Linked DNA regions of Nothobranchius furzeri. The protein of the gene in region 2 interacts with the protein of the main gene of each other region in a biochemical or structural test. Links are inferred from orthologs where the notes say so. Each region holds a gene or a part of one and is shown on either strand. Other genes may lie near its edges. The genes, in order: ticrr and topbp1.

Evidence for each region.
Region 1: the proteins of topbp1 (region 2) and ticrr form a complex in vitro, tested with the Homo sapiens proteins (2 studies listed by BioGRID). The link is inferred for Nothobranchius furzeri from reciprocal best matches to the Homo sapiens genes TOPBP1 and TICRR.

The regions. Positions count from the first base shown.
Region 1 is NC_091744.1:55,000,349-55,012,351, reverse strand, and holds the end of ticrr (treslin), read right to left. Parts: intron 9,913-12,003; coding exon 9,635-9,912; intron 9,443-9,634; coding exon 7,303-9,442; intron 6,013-7,302; coding exon 5,884-6,012; intron 5,632-5,883; coding exon 5,519-5,631; 3' UTR 5,388-5,518; downstream 1-5,387. Other genes in the region: ckmt1 (creatine kinase, mitochondrial 1), read right to left, coding at 1,320-1,465.
Region 2 is NC_091747.1:45,073,081-45,085,228, forward strand, and holds the start of topbp1 (DNA topoisomerase 2-binding protein 1), read left to right. Parts: upstream 1-5,192; 5' UTR 5,193-5,386; intron 5,387-5,560; 5' UTR 5,561-5,566; coding exon 5,567-5,653; intron 5,654-5,730; coding exon 5,731-5,865; intron 5,866-5,963; coding exon 5,964-6,107; intron 6,108-6,193; coding exon 6,194-6,375; intron 6,376-6,464; coding exon 6,465-6,658; intron 6,659-6,734; coding exon 6,735-6,911; intron 6,912-6,989; coding exon 6,990-7,156; intron 7,157-7,237; coding exon 7,238-7,401; intron 7,402-7,727; coding exon 7,728-7,957; intron 7,958-8,035; coding exon 8,036-8,352; intron 8,353-8,432; coding exon 8,433-8,605; intron 8,606-8,742; coding exon 8,743-8,954; intron 8,955-9,044; coding exon 9,045-9,340; intron 9,341-9,414; coding exon 9,415-9,600; intron 9,601-9,709; coding exon 9,710-9,825; intron 9,826-9,958; coding exon 9,959-10,082; intron 10,083-10,221; coding exon 10,222-10,368; intron 10,369-10,437; coding exon 10,438-10,507; intron 10,508-10,584; and 11 more. UniProt on the Homo sapiens protein: Scaffold protein that acts as a key protein-protein adapter in DNA replication and DNA repair. Composed of multiple BRCT domains, which specifically recognize and bind phosphorylated proteins, bringing proteins together into functional combinations.

The DNA.
Region 1 (12,003 bases), on a different chromosome or scaffold from region 2:
TGAGTGGTTAATTTAATTAAATGAGCAGAACACATTTGATTTGGAAGGGTTCTTCTGGTGTACAACAACGATTAAATGGCACAAGACTCTTAATTAGGTTAAAATGTGTGTTTCAGCGTGGTGAGTCTAAAAGAGTAGACCCACAGAAAGATGAGTTGGTTTCAGCACTTGAGTTATTTTGTAGGTTTATTACACAAAATACAACATTCCTCCTTTTTCTGCTACAAACTAATGTGGTTAGGTATAACGACCCTTGTCTTGAGTAAATCTGTTAAACTCAGTCTTTAACTGCACTGGTCTTCCAAGATGATCCTGCAAAATGATACCAGACACTTATGAGACCAAGTTTTTGTGTGTCCAAAATCACTTCTTCTTAGCCCAAAAGGGTTTGTGTGAGATTAGCTGACAGGAAATGACATAAAACAACAACAAAAAAAGATGTAGCCCACAGGTGATCTAACACAAACTGTGTACATGGTGCACATTTAATCACTGGCAAACGTCATAAACGTGATGTAATTACAATACAGCAAAATCTTTATGGTTACATTGGGCAACAATAAGACTGACTTTGTAACCGCAGGTGCTTTTGTGCATGGTCATTATAATCCAGCAGGGTTTGGTTTCTGAGCAGCAGATAATGTTTCCCTAATCTACATACAGTCAGGCTGATTTATTGCTGGTGCAGGTGTGTTTCTGAGCACGTAGGCTTTCTTTCTTTCTCCCGTACATGGAAATGAAAGTAGATTTATGACGTGTTTAAAATCTGGTTTATTGGTTGTTCTCTGACCTCATTCTGAGTACAACTTAAATAAGCAATCTGGTCTATTTGAACTCATGTATTAATATTCATTATGTGCGAATTTGTCATTCTGCATTCAACTTTTAAGACATTGCTTTATTAATGTCAGTTTGTTTCCGTTTCAGGTGTAAATCTTCTGAAATATAATATAATATAATATAATATAATAATTCTGGTAGAGGTGCAGGGCACTCTTCTTCGGGTCCTCGGGCCTTTGACCAGTAGACGCAGTAATATTCCATTAGCTAATATAAATAATTATAAATGATATATCTATTTGCTCATTACTCAGTAACAATGCTAAAATAACCTCAATATTATCATTATGACTTTTAATCATTTAAAAGCTAAACGTTTCTTCATGTTCCTTAACCTTCATGATTCACTGTACTTTATTGCTTTATTTCACAGCCGTTGAACACTAAAGCTCTCATTTTTCTGTAAAACAAGGTCAGCCTCTAGCTCAAACATTAAGAAATGTTCTGAACTGACACTCAGGCCGGAGGGACAACGTTACCTGGCGGGGTACCTCCTGCGCAGAGGTGATCCGGCGCTGGCGTGTTCCCGCTGGAGCAGAAACCCTGCCGCTACGGAGCCTCCCATCAGCGACAAGATGCCGATGTTTCGTTTGGAGGAAAGGATTCTCGAGAAGCTGCTGGCCATGTTGATTTTAATAGTGTTAAAGAGATGTTAATCCCACGGAAGGAGAAACGAACTGGGTTGGAGCGAAGGTGATGAAGAAAGAGCCTCTGATGGAATTGTGAGAACGTTTCAAGGAGGATCGTCAAGATGGATGGAGACACACGACACGGACCGGAAGCTACGCTAGGTTTCAAAATAAAAGCTCATGCGTGGAAACTTTCTGGACTCGGACTATTGTTGTGCATGTTTCTAATAATCTTGAAAGTAGCCTGATATGATGGTCTAAAGCGAACATTTTAGAATGATCGAAAACCTATATAAATAAGAGATAGGCTGCCATATTGCTTTGGCTCATACAGCAGGGACGATATGTTGTCTCCATCCGCCCATTCTAGTAGAGCCGATTTCAATACAGGCATGGGCAGCCTGGAGCCGCTCCTGAATTTTATATTAACGTATATTTACATTCCTGATAAACATCAAAAACATTACATTTAACTGACATTTCATATTTAATAATTGGAGTTATTAACTTTGGTTAAATTATTCTAACACAAAATAAGATTTAACTGTTAAATTCAGTTTAAAAAAACTGAATCATGTTCAGAAATGTTCTGTGTCTACTGATATTTCTGACATGTTTTAGTAAGTAAATAAGTTAGAAAATATCTAGATATCAGCTGTGAAAATCAGCAGCACATGTTGGCCCTCAACTGACCACGACATCTACATATTTGCATCTGTAACAGGAGAACCCATATCTTTAATGTAGATTGTGTATTACTGATATTATTGATTTTTGGATATCAGGTGAAATTTAAGAGCAAAAGATTAACACTCATTTATAGATTACTTTTGCTGTGAACTAGCAAAACGGGATTTAACTTGTAAAAAATCTGGTCTGCTTGATCAAAAAGATTAAATGATGCATTGCATTTTAGCAGAGGAGGTGACATCTGGGGGCATTTTTAAATTTAATTGAATACAAATCGACAATTTAAATTCTATTTTTCAACAACTGCTTAGAAACACACTTTACATGATGATTAACATTAATGTAGCTAAACATCACATTAGTCCAAAAGTAAATAAAAACATAAACACACCAGACCTTTTGGTGATGAAATCATCAACACAAGTGCTACTTCTGATTAATGGAAATTAAAGCAGGTGTTTCGAGTAAAACATTATTAAAAATCATTTAAGTGGGTGTGTGGGAGAAGATAAGATTCAGAACTGATATGCAGGAAAAGTAGGCTATCGTTTTTAAAAACCGTGTTTTGTTTTAAAATCGTTATTTTCTCAGTTTTTACTAAACATTTAGTATTTGACCATTTAAAACGTTTGATTACTGGGGGGTTGTTTACTACAGGAAGTCCAACACCTTATATTTGGGCTAACTTGATGGTGAGTAGGTGCGTGGCGAGCATCCATCATCAGTGAGGCTATGATTCACATCACATCAGTGAAAACGCTATAATACAGTTAGGTCCCCCACTGGTCCACTGTTTTCTATTTCATTAGACAGAAGAGCTTCTTCATCTGTTTCACACTGCATCAAGGTTACGCCAGTCATTCAAACCTGCGTTTACTTCCTCATTACGTCACGCATACTGGATTTAAAGTAAATAGTAAATGGCCTGTATTTGATATAGCGCCTTCTAGAGTTCTTGAAACCTAGTTCTTGAGAGAAAATTTTGGGGTGGAGGTGGAGCATTGAATAATTGGTCCTCCTTATGCTAACTCTGTCTGCCAGAGGCGGTACAATTAATCTAATACCATCCATCCATTTTCATCCACTTATCCGGAGTCGGGTCATGGGGGCAGACATCCCTCTCCCCAGCCACTTGGGCCAGCTCGTCTGGGGGAATCCCAAGGAATTCCCTGGCCAGGTGAGAGACATAGTCCCTCCACCGTGTCCTGGGTCTACCTTTAGGTCTCCTCCCGGTTGGAGTGCCCGGAAAACGTCGCCAGGGAGGCATCCAGGAGGCATCCTGACCAGATGCCCGAGCCACCTCAACTGGCTCCTCTCGATGTGGAGGAGTAGCAGGTCTACTCAGAGCCCCTCCCGAATGACCATGCTTCTCACCCTATCTCTAAGGGAGAGCCCAGTCACTCTTCGGAGAAAACTCACTTTGGCCACTTGTATTTGCGATCTCGTTCTTTCGATCACTACCCAAAGCTCATGACCATAGGTGATTAATCTAATACTAAACACTAAATTCATTTCACTAAAGTCCAAACACATTTGACCTCAAATTTGAGACACAAACATTTCATAAAAAGGCATTTCAGGCCGTTATTTGAACAACTTCAACATTGTATATATAAATATATATATGTATATATATACATATATATGTACATACATATATATATACACATACATATTTATATAACACATATATATATATATATACATTCATATTTATATATACATATATACACACACACACACATATATATATATATACATATATTTTTTTTAGAATTCTGGAGGAGTCTAATGGACATTACTGTCTTCGTTAAAACATCCACAAAAACGGGAAATTTACACTTTGAAAGTTATGAGAAGCAGCGACCTTTAAACATCTTCTAAATTATGATTCTTTCATTTACTCATTAAGTATATGCTTTTATTTCAATTTTAAACATTGGAGAATTAATTTGTTTGTGCAGACACAAATATGGTTTACTGGTGGGTGAGGCCAGTAATTTTTTTAAGGGCGGCCATGGGCCCCCTTGGGGGCACCCCTCAAAGGACAAACTCTTCAGCTGTCATAATTTTATTAGACTCAGCACCTGTGTGCACTGAACCATGCTTATCAAAAATAATAAAAGCCACCAAATCTAGAAGTGCATCCCAGATCAGAAATTCAACCACAACTACTGAAGAGCACGGCAAACAAGCTTTTATCCATTAGGTATGGTTTTTATAAAGAACATTTAAGTTAGAATTACTGAAGCACCCATATTGTTTTAGCTTTTTCCTACCCAGTTACATTAGAACAACCTAGACTTCAGGAGCCATCGACCCAACATTGTCATGTCATTTGGTCACATCAGATAATTGGTTGTATAAGTAGCACTTTAGCAAATGCACTTTCTGATAGCCTTTTGTGAACAAACCTGAATCTGCAAATACACAGCTTCTGTGGGAAAATCCAAGTACAAAGTTCACAACATGAACCAAATCCGTCCACCACGTGTTCCTGGACCAGTCAGAAGCTGCTGCTTCTATGCAGTTTATGCAGCTAAAATAATATTCAGCCACAAGTGAGAAAACTAGAAATAAAATACCACTTAAGGGCAATTTTACAAAGTTTGTCTTTAGAGCAAACAAATAAATAAAAGATAATATATATGCCTCAGCCTTAAACTGTTCCGCAATAACACTGAAAACTGTGCCAAAATGAGCTTGCTTTTGTTTGGTTAACGGTGCAGACTCATGTATTCATGAGTAGTTGTGTTATCAGACCGACAGCACAACCCTTGAAAAGCAGGTGAATACACAGAAACCATGTCACACTTCTCGATAAACCCACTTTAGTCCCTGAAACTTAAAAATTAATCTGGTTAAAGTTTCAATACACAGAACAACTGTTTGCTTTTCAATAAATTTAAAACAATAAATTTTATTTACAAAATTTAGGCAACATATTTACAACAGTTGGACATTCCCATTTCATTAAAAATATCAGTGATTTTATCAATATCAATAGATTCTATATGAAACTAAACAAATAAACAATATTGAAGTTAGACTATGACTTGACTGTAACATGTTACAATTCTTAATTAAAAAAATAAATAAAATGACATTATTTACCCAAATGTTTATTTTATAACAAAAAAAAAAAACAGGCAACATGGAAACCTTAGAATCGTAATTACAACAAAACGTGAAATCAACTTCCAACATCTATAAAAATAATCTTTTTTAAACCACACTCTTCATCTCAAATCCCAGAGTTTTGACCAATCAACCAGTGAATTTGGATCAGAGCAGGCAGAAGGCGTCTTTCATAACAGCTCGGGTCTTTCTCTGCTTGCCGTGCAGGCTTTTTGTTTGGCTCAGTGAAGCAGCCTCTTTCTGCTGTAGGTCTTCCCCGTGTTTGAGTGTCTGACTGGCTGTCTGAAAGGGGACTGCTCAGCAACTACTTCTGTCGTCCCTGAAGCAGCTTCTTCTACAACAAAGGGGGAAACAAAGACAGGATGAGTTTACTTGCAGTATGCATCATGCAATATCTACTCTATTTATCTTGTTTAAGCTCTCAGGAATAACTAGGTCCTGTTAACGAGTTGAAACTACAGTAAGGCAGCTATGGCATCATATATTTGGCTAAAATAGCTTGCTCATTTATAGGTGCCTGAAATCTAAGATAAATTAGCAGTTTAAGGATGAAAACACGTATTCTGTAGTCATGTTTACATCTTACCTTTAAAATTTGCTGCTCCCTTACAAGCAGAATCAGCTTTCTTCTTAAACAGCAACGGAGACTGGGTGAGGGTCAAAATACCACTTGCAGTCACTGGTTTTATCTTCTTCATGCTGGACGGGGTCACTGCTACCACAATACAGAAAACAGAGCTGAGTAAGTTACTGAAATTCCAGCTCAAGGTCATCATAACCATGATCAAAGATTTCTCAAATGTTTTATGTAAAAAACAAAAACAAAAAAACATTTCAGTTCAGTTTTAGTCATTTATGATTTCAAACCTTTCAAAAATGTGTCTAAACCTGCTTCAATCTGTTCAGTCATGGATGAGACAACGAAGCCCATCTCAGAGACACACTGGGTCACACCCAGTTCATTCAACTTAAGTCTTTAAGATCCCTAAGATCCTATTACCTGTGGTGTGCCACAGGGTTCCATCCTGGGGCTCCTTAGTTTATGCCCAACATCTTCCCCTTTGGTGAAATCTCTACCACTCCAGTAAACCCGACTCCATTCTCCCTCCCTCATAACTTTACCAACTCTCTCTCAACTCATGCTGCACCCATTCAAGTTCATAGTCTTGTTACCTCCCACACTGATTACCGTAACTCTTGTCTAGGCTTTTCACTCAGAAATCCCTCCATAAGCTTCAGCTGGTCCAGAAATCAGTAACCTGCTTCATCACTCAAACCCACTCTTATCACATCACCCCTGTCCTCCATTAACACCACTGGCTAGTGGCCAGGATCAGAAAAACTTTCTAACATCCATCTAGTGGTAGAGTGTCCGCCTTGAGACTCGGAGATTGGGGTTCAAATCCCGGTCGGGTCATACCAAAGACGTTAAAAATGGGACCTAATGCCTCCCTGCCTGATACTTGGATTAAAGGCGCTGGATGGGGGGGGGGGGGGGGGACCACCAAATAGTTCATGAGCACGGCCATAGCTAAAGCTCACCGCTCCCCACGGGGATGAGTCAGATGTGGAGATGAATTTTACTGGTGTGTGATGACTAATGGAACTTTAACCATTTACATTCAATGCCATCCATAATCATGCTCCTCCTTTGAGTGACCTTCTCAACATTGCCACCACCTTCCCAGCCCAACATTCCTCGTCAATCCATCTCACTAGTTCATTATCATTACACTGGGCTGCTTACTAGTCATTATCCAGATAAACAAGCTACGATTATTTGGGGATGCCAATGAACCCAATCATCTGTAAACTTTGGGGGACATTACAGCCCAAAAGATACAAATAACAGAGAATGGTAATGTCTAGACTGGAACTGAAAACCTGCTTTGAGACTGTACAAATGTAATCACAAAATACCAATATGATGTGGTTATAACCTTACATCATGATTTTCAAATTAATAAAACCGAAACCATTGTGTGAACTGTGGAAATGCTCTTACTTGTTGTGACATCCCAGCTGTCTGAGGCCCAGAGGACTTCTTCAGCTCTCTGAGCATCAGCACAGCTGGTCTGTTCAGCCAGCCTTTCCATCCAAAACAAATCCTCCAGTGGTGAAAGAGGAGAAACATCTGCAGCAGTTGGGGGTGACTGTTCGGAATTCAAAGCCTTTTTTTCTGCTGTGGGACTCGAAGGCTCGTCGATGTCCTCGAAGTCCTGTAACCTACTGACACCAAGCTCAGCCTCCTCCAACAACTCTTCCAGCTGTGGCTCCCCCTTAGGGCCCTGCTCTTTCCCCCCAAACACTCTGATGTGGGCTCTCTTCTTGCGAGGCCAGCTGTTGAGATTTTCTGGAGTCACTTTCCCCACACTTTGAGGTGAAGGAGTTAAAGGGCCAATCTCCGCAGTGGTCACCGGAGACGCTACTGTGGCATGGCGTGTAGGTGTGTATGACTGGCAGATGTAAGTTTGGACACTACCACCTTTTCCAGGGGTGCTCTTGGCTGGAGTGACATGACCACAGACAAACGGTGAGCTACATCCAGTATCTCTGTGCTTTAAAAATAAAGCCGCTGGACTCTCCATGCTAAGTTTTTTACCCACAGACGAGCTTTGAGCTGCTGACCAGGGACTTCCATCAGTACAGTCATCAGTACTCATGGAATCTCTGCGTTTAATTTTGAGCTTGGGAAGCCCTGATGTCTGCATTTCTAATTCAACTTGATAGGTGAGTGGATTTGGAGTAATGGTGCTTTTTAGCTGTTTGGATCTTGCTGGGCCTCTAGGGGTTGAAAAGTGATTAAACTCATTTGCATATCCTAAACGAGCAGCAGCCTCCCTCTGCTGGCGGTCAGGGGTTTGTCGAAAGCCATACCTCCGGCCAGGTGTGTTGTGTGAAGGAGACTGTAGAGCAGGCGAACCCCTGTTTGACAAACACTCTTCAGTAGACACTGAAGGCTTCCTTGAGAAGCTAATGTTCATTTTAAGGCCTTCATTAAACTCAGCCTTAACAACTGCAGCATCAACAATATCCAAACTATCATCGTCTGTGGTGGCAGAATTCCCATGGGATGAATCAAACTCCTGCGATGCGGTATGAACGCTGGAGTCACATCCAGCAGACTGATTGCTCTTTGCCTGCTCCTCTTTAGTAACGGGATGGTTCTCAGGAAAGGCTGACGTTAGTCGGGAGGCTAAACTCTCAATCGACTTAGATCCCAAGTCATTTCTAGCTGTTCCATGATTATGACCAGATCTTATTCTTCTCAAGCTCTTTTCGTGAAATTTAACGGCAGAATCAGATCCGGCTGAAAGTTCAGAGACTCCTGAAGGGGGAAATGTTGGGTCAGACTGGGATGCAGCTTTTGAACTTCCCACCGGAGTTCGTCCAGAGCGAGTAACCATTCTGTGAGTGGGACTAGGGCTCTTTACTTGAGTTCTGCTGTTGGACTGAGGAGAGATCCTTTGGTCTGAAGGTGTTGGGGACAGTGAAGGGAGTATTTCCAGATGTTTCTCATCTTTTTCAGGAGTTTTCAATTTGACATATTTTTCCCATGAATGATTTTTCTCTGGACTCAAATCATGTTCAAAGAATCTTACCAGGTTCACTTGACAAGTCTTTCCTGGGACGTTAAAAACACATCTTTTAGTGTTTGTATTTTGGACAGGACTCATCTTGTTTATGGGTATTTTCATTTGTCTCTCAGAACTGGGGGAAGCCATATTGGGTGACTTGGGGACCTTAAAAGTAGTGCTGCCCTCCACCAGTCTATATTTTTGAGGAGACGGTGACCATGTAACACTCTTCTTAGGAGTCCTTGATGCCGGGCTGTTGAGTAGATGTAATCCTGAGGAGGCGCCATGCTGAATCGAAGCTTTAACAGGGGTCTTAAGGATACCCTTTAAAGGGCTCGTAAGAGAACTTTGCTGGATAGGTGTGTTTATAACAACTTCTGATCTGCCTGGAGGTCTGAAAGGACTTTCAGGAGCTCCACAGCTGCCGGCTACAGGACTCTTGGCTAACGAAGAAACATCCATTGTGGACAATGATGAGATTTGTGCAGTCTGAAGTGTCCCAGGAGATACATTTTCAAAAGCAGGCCTTCCACGTTTGAGTGACTTTTTTGGGGTTCTGTTTGGACTCTAAAAATACAAAAATAAATAAATAAATAAAAATAAATTAGACAAATTTGGGCTTTTCTTCTAATTTTTGCTTGAAAATCACATTGTGTGGTAATATGCCATCTGATGAAGTTAGATTTTCATGTCTGATAAATACTTTAGACATATCCATTTAAGTGCGTGAGGTTTAGAATAATTAAAGAGATATCTTACTTCAAAGACACTTGAGTCTGAGCTGAAGCGAGACCTGGTGGTCCTGCTTTCAACAAACACAACGGAGGAACGACTGGGAGAATCAGCAGCTCCAAAAAGAAGACGCAAAGGAGACTGAACCTCTTTAACATTAATCCCGGGGATTGTTCTGTCACTGAGCGTGAGCTGGGATGCAGACAGAGCCTTCTCTAGGTTTCTAGAACGAGGCTGAGAACTCGAGTAGAAAACATTTGAGTGTCTTCTAGCAAACGACTTTAGTCTTGGACTCCTCCTCAATTCTGCAACAAAACCAAATCACAAGTTAAACAAGTTTATAGCTAGAGTTAATACTGAAACTCATGTTCTGATTTAATGACAAAGAAACAAATCAGAAGCAGCCAAGAAACAAATATCTACATGAAGGGCAAATGCTATCAAAATTAGGTGGAAATTAATTTAAAGAGCAAATTGCAGATACATTTTTTTCTAATTCATATAAAATGCTGTCCAAAAATACTATTTGAAAAGCTTACTGTGGATATTTCCTTTTAAAATACATAACGGCAGAGTTTTTCTAGTAAAAAGTGGCCTTTCTCAGCAAAGCTTCTAAAAAGGCTCTTTTTTCTAAATCTTAACCTCTGACGTAACCAAAGGGAGTTAGAAGCTAGAAGCTGCCTCAGCTCAGTGTGGAGAGTGGGTAGTTTTAGGGTAGAGAGGTCATGTGATCCAGTCAGTGTGTGTGTGTTTGCTAGTTTTGGGTTGTGTTCCTTTTGATACTATAGTTTGTGAAGGCTGTACCAACTCCAGCCTGTCTGGACATCGAGTCCACGGGTTTCCAGATAAAAGAAACAACGCTTCTATCTCCGGGCCTGAGGCCGTTTAGTACAGCTGAAAAGACGGACTTCTGTAGCCCACATCGGTCGGCACCGGGACAGGGAGGTCCGCGCTGGGCTCTGGAGACCCGTGGTGGGTTTAAAAAATTAAATGCGGATTTCTGGAGCTCAGATCACCACCAGAACCAGGTCAGAAACGACCACCAGAAGAGACACGCTGCTCAGTGGGCCAGTAGAGCTGGTGTCTGGGTCGGAACCGGATCAGAACCGCCGCTTAGACGACCAGGAGAAGATGCACGGCTTTTAAAAATACCAGCTCAACTGGCTCCCTTGTGTCTAGGCCGGATCCAGCTCACAGAAGCCCGCATGAGCTCCAGAACCGGATGACAGGCGCCTCTCTCTCAACGCTAAACTACGTTACGTGAACGGATATTAACGAGTATGACAACTGACAGACGCTCATTAGTATTAATATTATAATAACTAACAGATACTATTTTAATTGCCTGGTACATGGTAGTAATCTGTCCAACACTGTGATGTTAGTACACGAGTTTAAGCTAGCACCGTTAACTCACAAGACACCTGCTGCTCCCTCACTGCTTCTCCACAATCTCTCTGTTTTGGCCGATGGTTTCTCCCTCAGGTTTGTTTCTGCTCTCTGGGGCGAGCAGCAAACTCATAACTTTATGGTTTTGGTGCATCATAAGTAGAATAATAAACATTTAAAGTTTCCTCTGTGTCAGAGCCGGCATTAGAATCCATATTTTTCTCTGGATTAAGCTAACAGGACTCGCTCAGCTGATGTCACTTGGTTTGGAAAATAAAACATTTCTCACAAAAATGACTGTAAAAGCCTAATGAATTTATGTTTGTGTAAAAAAATGTTTAAATCGAGTTTTTCTTTTGTTTCTTTAAACATTGGTTCATGGGGTCTCTAACCTGCAATTTGCTCTTTAAGCTATAGAATGGCCATTTCACAGTGTTGGCTAATTTCATTTTTAATTACCACTACATTTATGAACCAATAATCTGACAAAAACAACTTATCCAGGAAATCACAAATTGACCATGAATATTTGTTATTTTGTTCTTGCAGCAGTGCCACTGGAATTTCAACCTGAGTATATGTAGGCGAAACACTTAGGCATCAGCAACACATTCCAGTGCTTCATGACTCTATATCACCATATAACCCACCCCTGTGTTGTTTTTCATAAAATCATGTGTATATAATCATACCACTGAGTATATATGAATGAATAAACAAGATTACACATTAATTAAGGCTGCACAATATATCGAAAAATTATCGTAATCGGGATAACAGGACGTGCGATAGGCCCATCGCAAAGCACATTAAAAACGGCGATAAATGTTTTGTTCAAACATTTCCATCCGTGTCATACATCAGCTTTTTGTAAACCAGCTCTGTTTTTTACGCAGAAGTATTATTTGACCAATCAAATGTAGCCCTTCTGATATGCGGCCAATCAAATGGGTCCGTTCACGTAATACGCCCGCCCTACCCTTAGGATGGAACGCAACACCCAAACT
Region 2 (12,148 bases):
AATTACAGTAACGTGAGTAAATTGTAATTCGTTACATTCCACCTCTGCCTTTGTGTTTGTCCCTTTAATGACGTCATAAAGGGCGTTGTTGTGTCGTGATCGCTTCAGCTCCATTACCAGTGACGTCAGACTCGTCGCTCAGTCCACACGTTTACAGCGGGACGAACAGATCTACTCTTTACTTTCAACATGTTATCGCCTTTTAGAATGGATTTAGTTCATCTGAACAGAAAATTAAAGATGGAGAGGTTTAAAATACAAAAGAAATATGAAGATTTAGGAAAGCAAATTCTGAGAGAGCAAGAAGACATTTCTGCAGAGAAACTCAGGTTAAAAGAGAAGCATTCTGCGGAACAGAAAAAGCAACATCTTGATCTAATTCTTGCATTAAGACAAGAAAAAGATGCGGTTTCTGCTAATGATAAAACAATTTCTGAACAGGGCTTTTTAATTACAGAGCTCCAAGATGAGATCAAACCCCTAAAGGATTATAAATTAGGGTGTGATACGCAGGTAGTCCATATGTACCGAGCAATTAAACATTTTTCACCCCGTACCATAGACAATGAAGAACTGCAGTTCAATTCACCGGGTCCATCGAGTAAGATAAACACGTTTACTGGTCTTGAGAAGAAAAAATATATTTCAGGTCATTTAATAAAAAATCAAAGAAAAATTCAGGAACTTGAGGACACGCTAGAAACCTTGAAAAGTCAAAGGCGTATAGAAAACCTTTTGTTAAATGGAGAAGAGAAAGATATACAGGCTTGGTTGGATGCGGACATAACCTTCGATGATTGGAGGTTAAAAAGGTTAAAGCAACAAAGACGGTTGATTCCCCAGGTGACTTCGATGGAACAGAACACGTTGGCTCAGATGGAAAAATATAACCAGTCAATTTGTGAAAAACTGGCACAAAGTGAAGCTTTCTGTGAACGATTAACAGATAAGCTAGAACAGCTCAATACAGCTTTAGCAGAAACAAAACAATTATTATCTGATTATAAGCAGGAAGATCCAAATCAGGACAAGGATGAGAAAATGGCAGCCTTATTGGAGGGGCTAAGTATAAAACGTTCTCAGCATCCATTTCCCTGGGATCAAAAGTCTGAAGAAAGTAATGAGCCAGAAATTAGTCAAGACATAGAAACAGCAGGGGAAACCTTAGAAACAGCAGGGGAAACCTAACTCAATAGGTATAGTGGAGTGGAGCCTAAAATCAAAGGCACACATTGAATTTATACTAACTAGTGGGAGGAGCCGGGGAGGCATATTTACCGAGTGGGTGGAGCCTACATCACCCTAATATTATGATTTCAGCTTAGTGTTAGCGTCGTTCTTAAGCAGGTTTAGCAATCAGTTTCAGCAAACATCATTCAGACAGCATTTCTGTAAACATGATATTTGTCTAGTCCTAGTAACATTACATTAAAGTGAGAGTCAAGGCATGGGTGGAGACATATCTCATGCACACTTCCAGTTAGGAAACGCTTCTGATAGAGGCGTTGGCTGGTGGATGGAGAGCAGCGCTGAGGCAGTGGTAGACGCACTGTCGGAGTTTCTCAGTCTAAAAACAAGTTGCGAGCACGCGCTCACACAAGACTTACCACTCAGGAGAAAAGCAGACAGATTCTGCAGCATTCATTTCCTGTTAACCGTGATCATTAGATGAAAAAGGGGAGAAGGGCATTTTTTTCAAGGGTTTAAGCAGCTAGAAGATATAATCTTATTTACATTTTACATGAATCGTAGCGTGCCAGAACAGAGCGTGGAGTCTCTGACATAATCTGATGGCACTGTTGGAATTGTCTTGCTCTTTATAATAGAAGATACAATCTTATTTACATTTTGAGAGACTTCTTTATCCAGGACTCCCTTCAAAGTCATACCACTGCTGGACTTTTCATACGGCATCCCTAAAACAAGTGCCATGCACTCACTTACGTCTTCCACCCTAGCAGACACGACACACTTATAATCTCCCATGGTCTGCATATATGTACAAATTTAAGGCAGCATAATGCATAAAACCTGTGCTGAGGCTACCCGATACATTTCAGTAGCCATTTCTTTAAAGATGCCTTCAAATTCTGTGCCTGCCATACCAGAAATCTGTATTTGCCACTGATCTGCTCTGATGTCAGATATATATTTTAGCAGTGTTGGTATGAAAACATTCCTCCCGAGGGAAACTGTATTTTCAAAAATAACTTTCTTCAATGAGTTCATTTTCGGTTTTTAAAAAAGGTCGTAGGCTCTTAAGGTGTTGCTGGCTTTACCGCTTGCTGTTTATGCCCTCTGACTTCTGACTTGACTAATTAGCTATGATGATGTCACAAAGGAACGCATTCCAGATGAAGTGAAGCACTTGTCGTGTTAGTGTTGTGGGCGTTATTATTATTATTATAATTATTATTATTCGATTATTATCTCACGCACGCAGGCACTGTACGTAGCACCGCACATCTCACGTGAGAGTGTATGTATGCATATGTCTAAATACATGTTTGTATGTATGTATGTACGTATGTGTTTGTAGTCATGTAAATATTCTCCTTTTGTGTTAATTTGGTATACATTTTTTCTCCTTTCTTGCTTTACGTTATTGTCACGTTTAGGAGAGAAGGTTGGACCCAGGATGCGGGGTCATGAAAGTCTCGGGGGCCGGGGCGAGGAGGGAACAGGAGGCAGGGTCATGAAAGTCTCGGGGACCGGCGACGGGGAACCAGGAGGCGGGACCATGAAAGTCTCGGGGGACGGGGAACCAGGAGGCGGGACCACGAAAGTCTCGGGGGATGGGGAACCAGGAGGCGGGACCACGAAAGTCTCGGGGGACGGGGAACCAGGAGGCGGGACCACGAAAGTCTCGGGGGCCGGCGACGGGGAACCAGGAGGCAGGGCCATGAAAGTCTCGGGGGCCGGCAACGGGGAACCAGGAGGCGGGACCATGAAGGCCTAGGGGGCCGGCGACGGGGAACCAGGAGGCGGGAGCAGGGAAGTCTAGGGGGCCGGCGACGGGGAACCAGGAGGCAAGGCTATGAAAGTCTCGGGGGCCGGCAACAGGGAACCAGGAGGCGGGACCATGAAGGCCTAGGGGGCCGGCAACGGGGAACCAGGAGGCGGGACCATGAAGGCCTAGGGGGCCGGCGACGGGGAACCAGGAGGCAGGGCCATGAAAGTCTCGGGGGCCGGCAACGGGGAACCAGGAGGCGGGACCATGAAGGCCTAGGGGGCCGGCGACGGGGAACCAGGAGGCGGGAGCAGGGAAGTCTAGGGGGCCGGCAACGGGGAACCAGGAGGCGGGACCATGAAGGCCTAGGGGGCCGGCGACGGGGAACCAGGAGGCGGGACCAGGGGAAGTCTAGGAGGCCGGCGAAGGGAAACCAGGAGGCGGGAACAGGAAACCCTGGGGATCGGGGGCTTTGGAGGGGGAGGCCGAGGAAGGGACTTCAGCGGACGAGGAAGGGTCTCTGTAGACAGGGACAGAGACTGGAACACGTGAGACAGGGACAGGGACTGGAACACGTGAGACAGGGACAGGGACTGGAACACGTGAAACTGGGACAGGGACAGGGACTGGAACACGTGAAACTGGGACAGGGACTGGAACACTTGAGACTTGGGAGACTGAAACGCTTGAGACTTGGGACGTAGACCTTGAGATAGGAGACAGGTAGACGTCGACTTCAGAGCTGGAGCTGTTAACATCTACTTCTGTCGACTTCGAGACAGGAGGCGGGGAGACAGCGACTTCAGAGCTGAAGGCGGGGAGACGTCGACTTCAGAGCTGGAGCCGGAAACGTCTACCCCAGAGCTGGAAACGTCTACCTCAGAGGCGTCGACCCTTGGACAGGAGGCGTCAACCCTTGGACAGGAGGCGTCGACCGGAGCCTCTTGGATGGACTGGACCGGAGCCCCTTGGACGGGCTGGACTGGGGGCTCGTGGACGAGCTGGACTGGATGCGCAGTGTCCTACGGGACCTCCGCTGAAGCAGGATGCGATGCGTCCTCCGGGACCACCGCTGGAGCAGGATGTGATGCGTCCTTCGGGACCACCGCTGGAGCAGGATGCGATGCGTCCTTCGGGACCACCGCTGGAGCAGGATGAAGCTCAGACGCGGGTCGCAGAGCAGGGGCCTCTTGGGTAGGCCGCACAGCTCTGGCGTCTGATGGATTCATGAGTCTTGGCTTGGGCTGTAGAGCAGGGGCCTCTTGGTTCGGCGGCACAACTCTAACTTAAGATGGCTTTATGAGCTCAGGTTTGGGTTGCAGAGCAGGGGCCTCTGAGATAGGGGGCACAACTCTGGCTGTAGATGAGTTCAGGAGTTCTGGCTCGGGCTGCAGAGCAGGGGCCTCTTGGTCAGGCAGCACAGCTCTGGCTTCAGACGACTGGATGAGTTCAGATTTGGGTTGCAGAGCAGGGGCCTCTGGGTTAGGCGGCACAACTCTGGTCTCAGGAGACTGCTGGTGATGGCGATGACATCTGCGACGAGCACGGCTCCTCGGAGGTGCGGGGATAACGCCGTAAACGCCCACTGGACCTGGTGGAGGTGTGGTGGCTTGGCCCATTGGAGGTTCCGCGATGGCGCCGGTCGAAACAGACGGAAAAGAGGAGTGACAGCCCACCGGAGGTGGAGAGGTGGCGCTGTCAGGACCAGGTGAAGGTGAGGTGGCTCGGCCCATTGGAGATATTTTGTAAGATAGGACTTTTTAATGCCTCATTTACTAAAGTACTCTACTGCATTGTTATTTTTATATTGTAATCAGTGCAAAAGGTCTGTTTATTGTGTATAAATTTGTAACACGGCCATAGACATGATTAGCACACTGCTGTTTGATTTTTGCAACAAAAAAAAAAGTATTAGCAAAAAAACTCCGATATTTTTTTTTCATTTTGATTGTGTGCCACTGTAAAATTGCATGACATTTGAATAATAAGCAATTAAATATGTACAGGTTCTCTAAAGAGTCCCTTTTTTTTTACATATGCATGATCATTTTATTGTGCCAGGTGGCAGGTCCCAAATTTCTTCAGGAATGTTATAGTTATTATTATTATTAGCCACAGAGGCGATGTTCTACTCGGACAGATTAGCAAGTAGGACCGGAAGTTCCGTGAAAGGCGCGAACTGTCAACAATTAGCTTAAATTTTCGTACTATAAATTATTTGTATATTTATTTAATGTTGTGGCGATTTTATGCCGGTTTGTCCTAAAAAAACGAGTTTTACATTTTTTCTAAACATTTTCACGTTGTAACCGGCTAAGTTAGCAGCAGCCATTTAAAACTCAACATCGTTTGTTATAAAAAGTTAGTTTTTACCGAATTTAAGTAGAAACGGAAATGTCTTTATATTCACTACCAGCCGGAGTCCAACCATAGGAGGTGAGTATAGTCCATGTTTTTAGTTATTAGGCTGATATGATCAGGCTAAAAGTGAACATTAGCTAGTAACTTAAGACTTATTACAGCTGAAGCTTTAGTCTATAAATAAATTCCTGTAATTTTAGATACTGCTTCCATCAAGTGGCAACTGTAACATACTGTGTTTATTCCAAGTTCAACATGCTTAAAGGAAACAAGGAATGCCTCTTAGTGAAGTTTGTGGAAAGTGAAGGATCTCTGACAGATCATGCCACCAAAGCGTATGAGGTAAATCTCACTGCCTTGCTTAATGTTTGTTTATTTATTTGCATTTAGTGATTCTAATTCTGTCGTATTTTATTCAGGCCATTTTGGAGCTGCAGTCTGAAAAGTATTTACAAACCATTAAGGAAGAAGATGTGCTGCAGATGAAGCAGAAGGACAGGTCTCTGTTTGTGTTGAGCAGCTTCACCTCTCCAGCTTTCCTGCACTGTATGCAGGTCTGATTCCGTTTGTCACACTCTGAAATTATAAGTCCTGTTGGGATTATTGAAACTCTTTGAGGAAAACTCTTCTTTTGCCTCCGTTTGTCCTGCAGCTTGGCTGCAGAATCGTGAGTCCACTGGTGGTGCTGTACTGCTTACAGAATCAGCGCTGTGTCCCCAAAGCAGAGAAACCTGTGTATAATATGGCAATGGCTGATGTGACCATTTCCTGCACCAGCCTGGACAAAGCAACACGGGTTAGTTAGTTAGTTAGTTAGTTAGTTAGTCTTCTTAATGTAATTTGAAGACTGTTGCTTTTATTTTCTAATTTGTGTTTCTGCAGACAGAAGTGATGGATCTGGTGCAACTGATGGGTGGACGGGCCAGTCTTGATCTCAATGTGTTTGTCACGCACCTGATTGCAGGAGAGGTTGGAAGTAAAAAATACCTGGTGGCTGCCAACCTGGGTAAACCCATCCTTCTGCCCTCGTGGGTCAAAGCCTGCTGGGAGAAGACCCAGGATAGGTGTTCAGCTTGATTAAACTAAAAAATAAAAACGGCTAATTCTAAAGGTTTTGTTCTAAAACCACCTCTTTACACCATTTTGTTCCCAGTCTTTTAAGGTATACAGACTTGCCAGTGGAGGATTATCTGTGTCCCGTGTTGCTTGGCTGTACAGTTTGTGTGACGGGCCTCTCCAGCCTGGAGCGTAAGGAGGTGCAGCGGCTCTGTGAGCAGCACGGAGCTAAATACACTGGCCAGCTCAAAATGAACGACTGCACACACCTGATTGTTAGTGAACCAACTGGTAAGTCACTAACGGCTTTGGGGAACTTGTTGATTTATTACAAACCCTCTAAGAATCCGTTTTATCGGTGCTCCAGGTCAGAAGTACGAATGCGCCAAGAAGTGGAATGTTTACTGCGTGTCTGTAAACTGGCTCTTTGACAGCATAGAGAAGGGTTTCTGTCAAGATGAGAGCAGGTACGCCGTGGACCGCCGTTCATCAAAAACCTCCGCACCGCACACCTCTACTCCTACTGGCACCAGCAAGCGGCAAGGTCGGCTGCTTGCCACGCGTCTTTTAGTTATTTAAAAATTGAGCATCTTTAATAATCACATCTGCATTTTGTCTCTAGATGGTCCGTCTCTGCTGGGCTTGAGCAACATTTCTGTCAGTGCTAGCGTTGGGGTAAATGACACTGCCCTCACCAACTCCACCGTGAGTCGTGTGGAGACGTCGGACCCCGTAGATTGCCTTGATCTCACCGTTTGTCCTGTCGATGATGTTTTGGATGGCTGTAAGGTAAAAACATAAACTTTTTTATTCTCTATAGTTATTTTAGTCAATTTGAGGTGATATTATTGTTGTTCTATTGCTGCACAGCTGTATCTCTGTGGCTTTCCGGTGAAGAAGTTGGAGAAGCTGCGGCGACTTGTAAACGCTGGCGGAGGTCTGCGCTTCAACCAACCCTGTGAGGAACTGACTCATGTGGTGATGGGAGAGCTGGACCAGGAGCTCCACAAGTTTCTCTCTAAAGCCACTTATAGGTAGAAATAATAATGTCTGGCTGTGAAACAAACAGAATGAACGTGTGAATGCTGGTGGTGACAAGCCTTACAGATTTACTGTAATTTACAAATAATTCTTATTTAAACAATAAAAATGTGCTTTAAACTTTTAAAATGTCTTGTTTTGATCTTTTAAACAATCAAGGTATTAAAAAATGTATTCCTAAATAAATCAGTATGCTTTTTAGGGTTAATAAAACATTTGATCTTTTGTTTGATCTGCAAAAACCGGAACATAAAATAAACAATTCTAGAAACGTGAAACTGACCTGAAATAAACTAGGTGTGTTTTTGTGATTCTCCAGGCCTCATGTGGTAACAGTGCAGTGGCTGCTGGATAGTTTCTCTAGAGGCGCTCTGCTCCCAGAGGAAGGATACCTCCACCCTGACTGCCTTCCTCCTGCTGCAGCTGCAGCATCCGTGCCACCTCCCAGATCATCAGCCGGACCGCTTGTTCCCAGTCCAACCACTCCCAGGTTAAAGACGGCAGATGAGGATCTGCTCTCACAGTACATGGACGGCGACCCAACAGTTGGTGGGAGTGTGCTTTTGCAGGATTTATTCTGCATTAGATGTGGGGGTTTTTAAACAAAGTACATTTTTGTGTTTTAAGTTGACGTGCCACCACCAGGAGGAGAGAACAGGGAGTCCATAAGCACCGCTGCAGAGCCCCAACCCGAGTCGTGGGAACCCAATCATACCAGAGCAACGCAAGACTCGACCCAGCAGGAAGGCCTGTTTGCCGGCAGGTCCTTCCTCCTTGTGGGTTTCGATCCTGAAGCCGAGGCGCAGTTCTCCGTGCTGGTTTCAGAACGAGGAGGCAAGGTACTGCCGGCCCGCACTCGAGCGGTGGCGGACTACGCCGTGGTTCCGCTGCTGGGCCGCTCGGTGGAGGCCACGGTGGACGAGGTCGTCACGGATACATGGCTGGTAGCAAAGGAACAAAAACTTTTATTTCTTTTGAGACTTTGGCATTTTTTATATTAAAGTTTTCCTGTTGTTGATTTCAGGCCATGTGTGTGGAGAAGGAGTGTGTTCTACGTCTGTCCGCCAACCCTTTGTTTGTCCCCGTCCCTGTGAGGGAGGGACATTTTCCTCTAAAGGACTGCGTCCTCTCCGTCAGCCAGTTTACTGGAGCAGAGAGGGAGTCCCTGGTGGAGCTCGCCAAGTACCTCGGAGCAAAGTACGACCACTACCTGCTCGTTGTTTTCTGAGTTTAACCTGATGCATCATAGATCTGAAATGGGACATTTGCCTCATTGCTTCATAAACGAATCACTGATGACCCCCCCCCCCCCCCCCCCCCCCCCCCCGCTGTAGTGTGCAGGATTATTTTGTGCGCCTGGCCAACCAGAAGAAAGGGATGCTGGCCAGCACTCACCTGGTGTTGCAGACTCCTGAAGGCACAAAGTACCAGGCAGCAAAGAAGTGGGGGCTCCCTGCTGTCACCATGCACTGGATTCTGGAATCCGCTCGTACGGGCAAGAGGGCGGCGGAGGAGAAGTACCTGGTTGACCTACCTCCTTCTCCAGGTTTTTCTCTTATTTATTTATTTTTTTGGTTCGTTTGAGAACAAAACCTGTCTTTGCTTTCCCAACACCTCAAATGTCCCTCGTTTGTAGAGAGAGATGAAGAGAGCTTTGTGGGCGGCTCCCAGAAACCCATCCTGCCTCCGCCGCGTCCACGTTCCCCTGAAATCCCTCTGCTGGGTCCGCAGGGCGGGAAAGCCGTCACCCCGCTAGACCTGGGCCGCTTCCAAAGCAAAGTGTTTCGCTCCGTGCTGGATGAGATGAAACCCGAACAAAACCAGGAGGACAGTAGAAGGAGGCGGCCTCAGAAGGAGCCTCCTCTGCAGCTGGACACGCCATCTCGGTTCCTGAGCAGAGATCAGCTCTTCAGACCGTCGTTTAACGTCGCGGTCAGACAGCAGCAGACATCCACACCGAACATTCCAAACTACAACATGTCATAGGCTGGGTTTTATTTTTGTAGGATGCACTGGGAGCTTTGGAAACGCCTGGTGGGCGATCAAAGCCAGGAGAGAAGGTGGAGACGCCGCTGACTGATGTCATCAACCGGAATCTGAAGGTGGCTCTGGCCAACAGCTCACGTGGGAACATGTCAGACCTCCAGGCCGTCACCGCCAGCCCACAGCTGGCCAAGACGACAGAGAAGGAGGTAAATATGTCCTAAACCTGCTTTTGGTTCTGCTCTTGAAAAGGTTGGAGTTTCTCTTTCAGCACCTGTAACTAATATAAATGTGATTCATCATCATTTTATCCCAAAGGCTCCAGAAGCAGCAGCCAGACCTCTGACTGGTGTTGTGATCTGTGTGGCGAAGAAGCTCAGCAAAATGCAGAGCGAACTAAACGCTGTTGCTGCCTCGCTGGGAGCTGACTTCAGGTGCTCGGCCTTCTGGGAGTTTTTAGTTACTAACCTGATGGATGTTTCTGTTTTAAACAATATAAACAAATGGGGCTACACTGGGACTATTACTGGGATAACCAGATCGTTCAAAAACACCTTTGTTTTTCAGATGGGCTTGTGATGACACGGTGACCCACTACATCTACCAGGGTCGAGTGGGGGACAGCTCCAGGGAGTACAGAGGGGTGAAGGAGAGAGGGCTGCATGTGGTATCTCAGTACTGGCTGCACGCTGTGAGTCTCAAAAATGTTTAAAGTCGGCTTTATTCAGTAAAGTTTTGTAAAAGTCTAATTTCTGTGTACAGATTTTTGATTTTGACACAAATAAAACACTCGTGTGTGTGCGTGTGTGTGCGTGTTTGCGTGCGTTCAGTGTGCCGAGGAGCAGAAGCACGTCTCAGAGTCTCTGTATCCGTTCACCTACAACCCCAAGATGAGCCTAAACCTGAGCCAGGTGCCCAGCAGCTCCCAGAAGTCTCCGCCTTTCCCACGAACACGGCTCCGAGACAAACTTGACAAGGTAGCATTGGTCTAGTGTTGCAACTGATGTTTTCCATCTCATGTCTGACGGTTCTGTTTGTCCCGTCAGTCTGAGCTCCCCGCTGCAGGAGCAACCTCAGCTGTGAGTAACGGAGGCGACGATCACGATGAGAAGAGAGGTGACGTGTGTCCGTCTTCTAGCTGCTTCTGCGTTTATGACGAACCACGAGGTAACAGAGGCCGTTTCACGTTTCAGACATGCTGGAAATGGGGGAGACCCTGCAACGACAGCTGCAGGAGATCATGTCCGCCACCAAGATAACGACGGGCAGACGCACGTCTGTGAGACTGGCTAGAATGGGATCAGGAGGTGCTGATTCTGGTCCGAACACACCCGACGTGAGCCGAGCCAGCCGCGGCGGGAGCAGACGGACCCTGGAAGCTCTCAGGTGGCTTTCTGTTGAAGCTAATTAAGATATTTCTATGTGAAACTTTAGTGTTTACATATTTTCCCCCCAGAGTTTCCAGAGAAGCAGCCCTGGACATCAACACGGAGCCGTCTCAGAGCGAGCAGATCGTCTGGGATGACCCAACGGCCCGGGAGGAGCGGGCGAAGCTGGCGGATAACTTCCAGTGGCCTGGAAGTCCGTCGCAACACTCCGAACCTCTCACGGCTGCTGCTGCACCTGCACCCCCTCCCTCCGCAGAGACCAGATCACAGTTGAAGGACTCCATGACGGACTCGGAGCTGGTGGAGATCGGTAAGATCCGTGAGACATACACAGAACTAAAGAACTGAGTGTTTCATTAGTTTTCCAGCTTATTGAAGCTTCATGTAATGTTTGATACGAAGCAACGTTTTCACGTTTTACCGGTTTCTAAAAGCTGAGGTCTTGTTTACAGTAATGCAGCTTAAAGATGCATCTCACTGTTCTCACACAGCTGCTTGTGAGGTTATTAACCAGCAGCTGGGTCAGAAGGTCATGACCCCTCCACCAGAGGAACCAGAGGAAGACATCCTCACTCCTAGAGCTCCTAGCATCGCCTTTCCCCTCACTAAACCAGCAGGAGCTCCGGAGCATCAGGACGAGACAAGAGAAGAAAAGCAGCCTCCCAGATTCCAGCTGTCCTCCCTCAGTCCTCAGGAGCGCATCGATTACAGCCAGCTGATAGAGGAGCTGGGTGAGTCCCTCAGAGCTCCAACCTGGTCACAGAAACCAAAAGCAGGAGATGGAATATGATTTTTATTTTAGCTTGGTCTAGTTCGTGTCTCCTGACCAGGTCCAGTGTGTCTTAGTCTCTCTGTTCTTTGTCCTACTTTAGGTGGTGTTGTCCTGGACAAGCAGTCCTTCGACCCCAGCTGCTCCCACATCATCGTAGGGACTCCGCTGCGCAACGAGAAGTATCTTGCAGCGATGGCTGCCGGTAAATGGATCCTGCATCGTTCCTACCTGGAAGTCTGTCGCTCCCTGGGACACTTTGTCCAGGTGAGAGTCCGCCTCAGTCCTTCACCAGTAAAACTTATGCTAAGCACAGCACTCACTCTCCTTTGGTCTCCTGCTGTGGGGCAGGAGGAGGAGTATGAATGGGGCAGCAGCTCCATCCTGGAGGCTTTACCCTCCATCACCTCTCAGCAAAGGAGGCTGGCCTCGTCGGCCATGCGCTGGAGAAAAGCTCTGCAGGGAAGCTCTGAACAGAAGGTACATCCAGACCGGTTCGCTGTGTCCTCGCGGTGCTAGACACGGTGTCTCACCTGGAGAAAAATGTGTTTTCCAGGGAGCTTTCAGCGGCTGGAGCGTGATGCTGAACATCGACCAGAG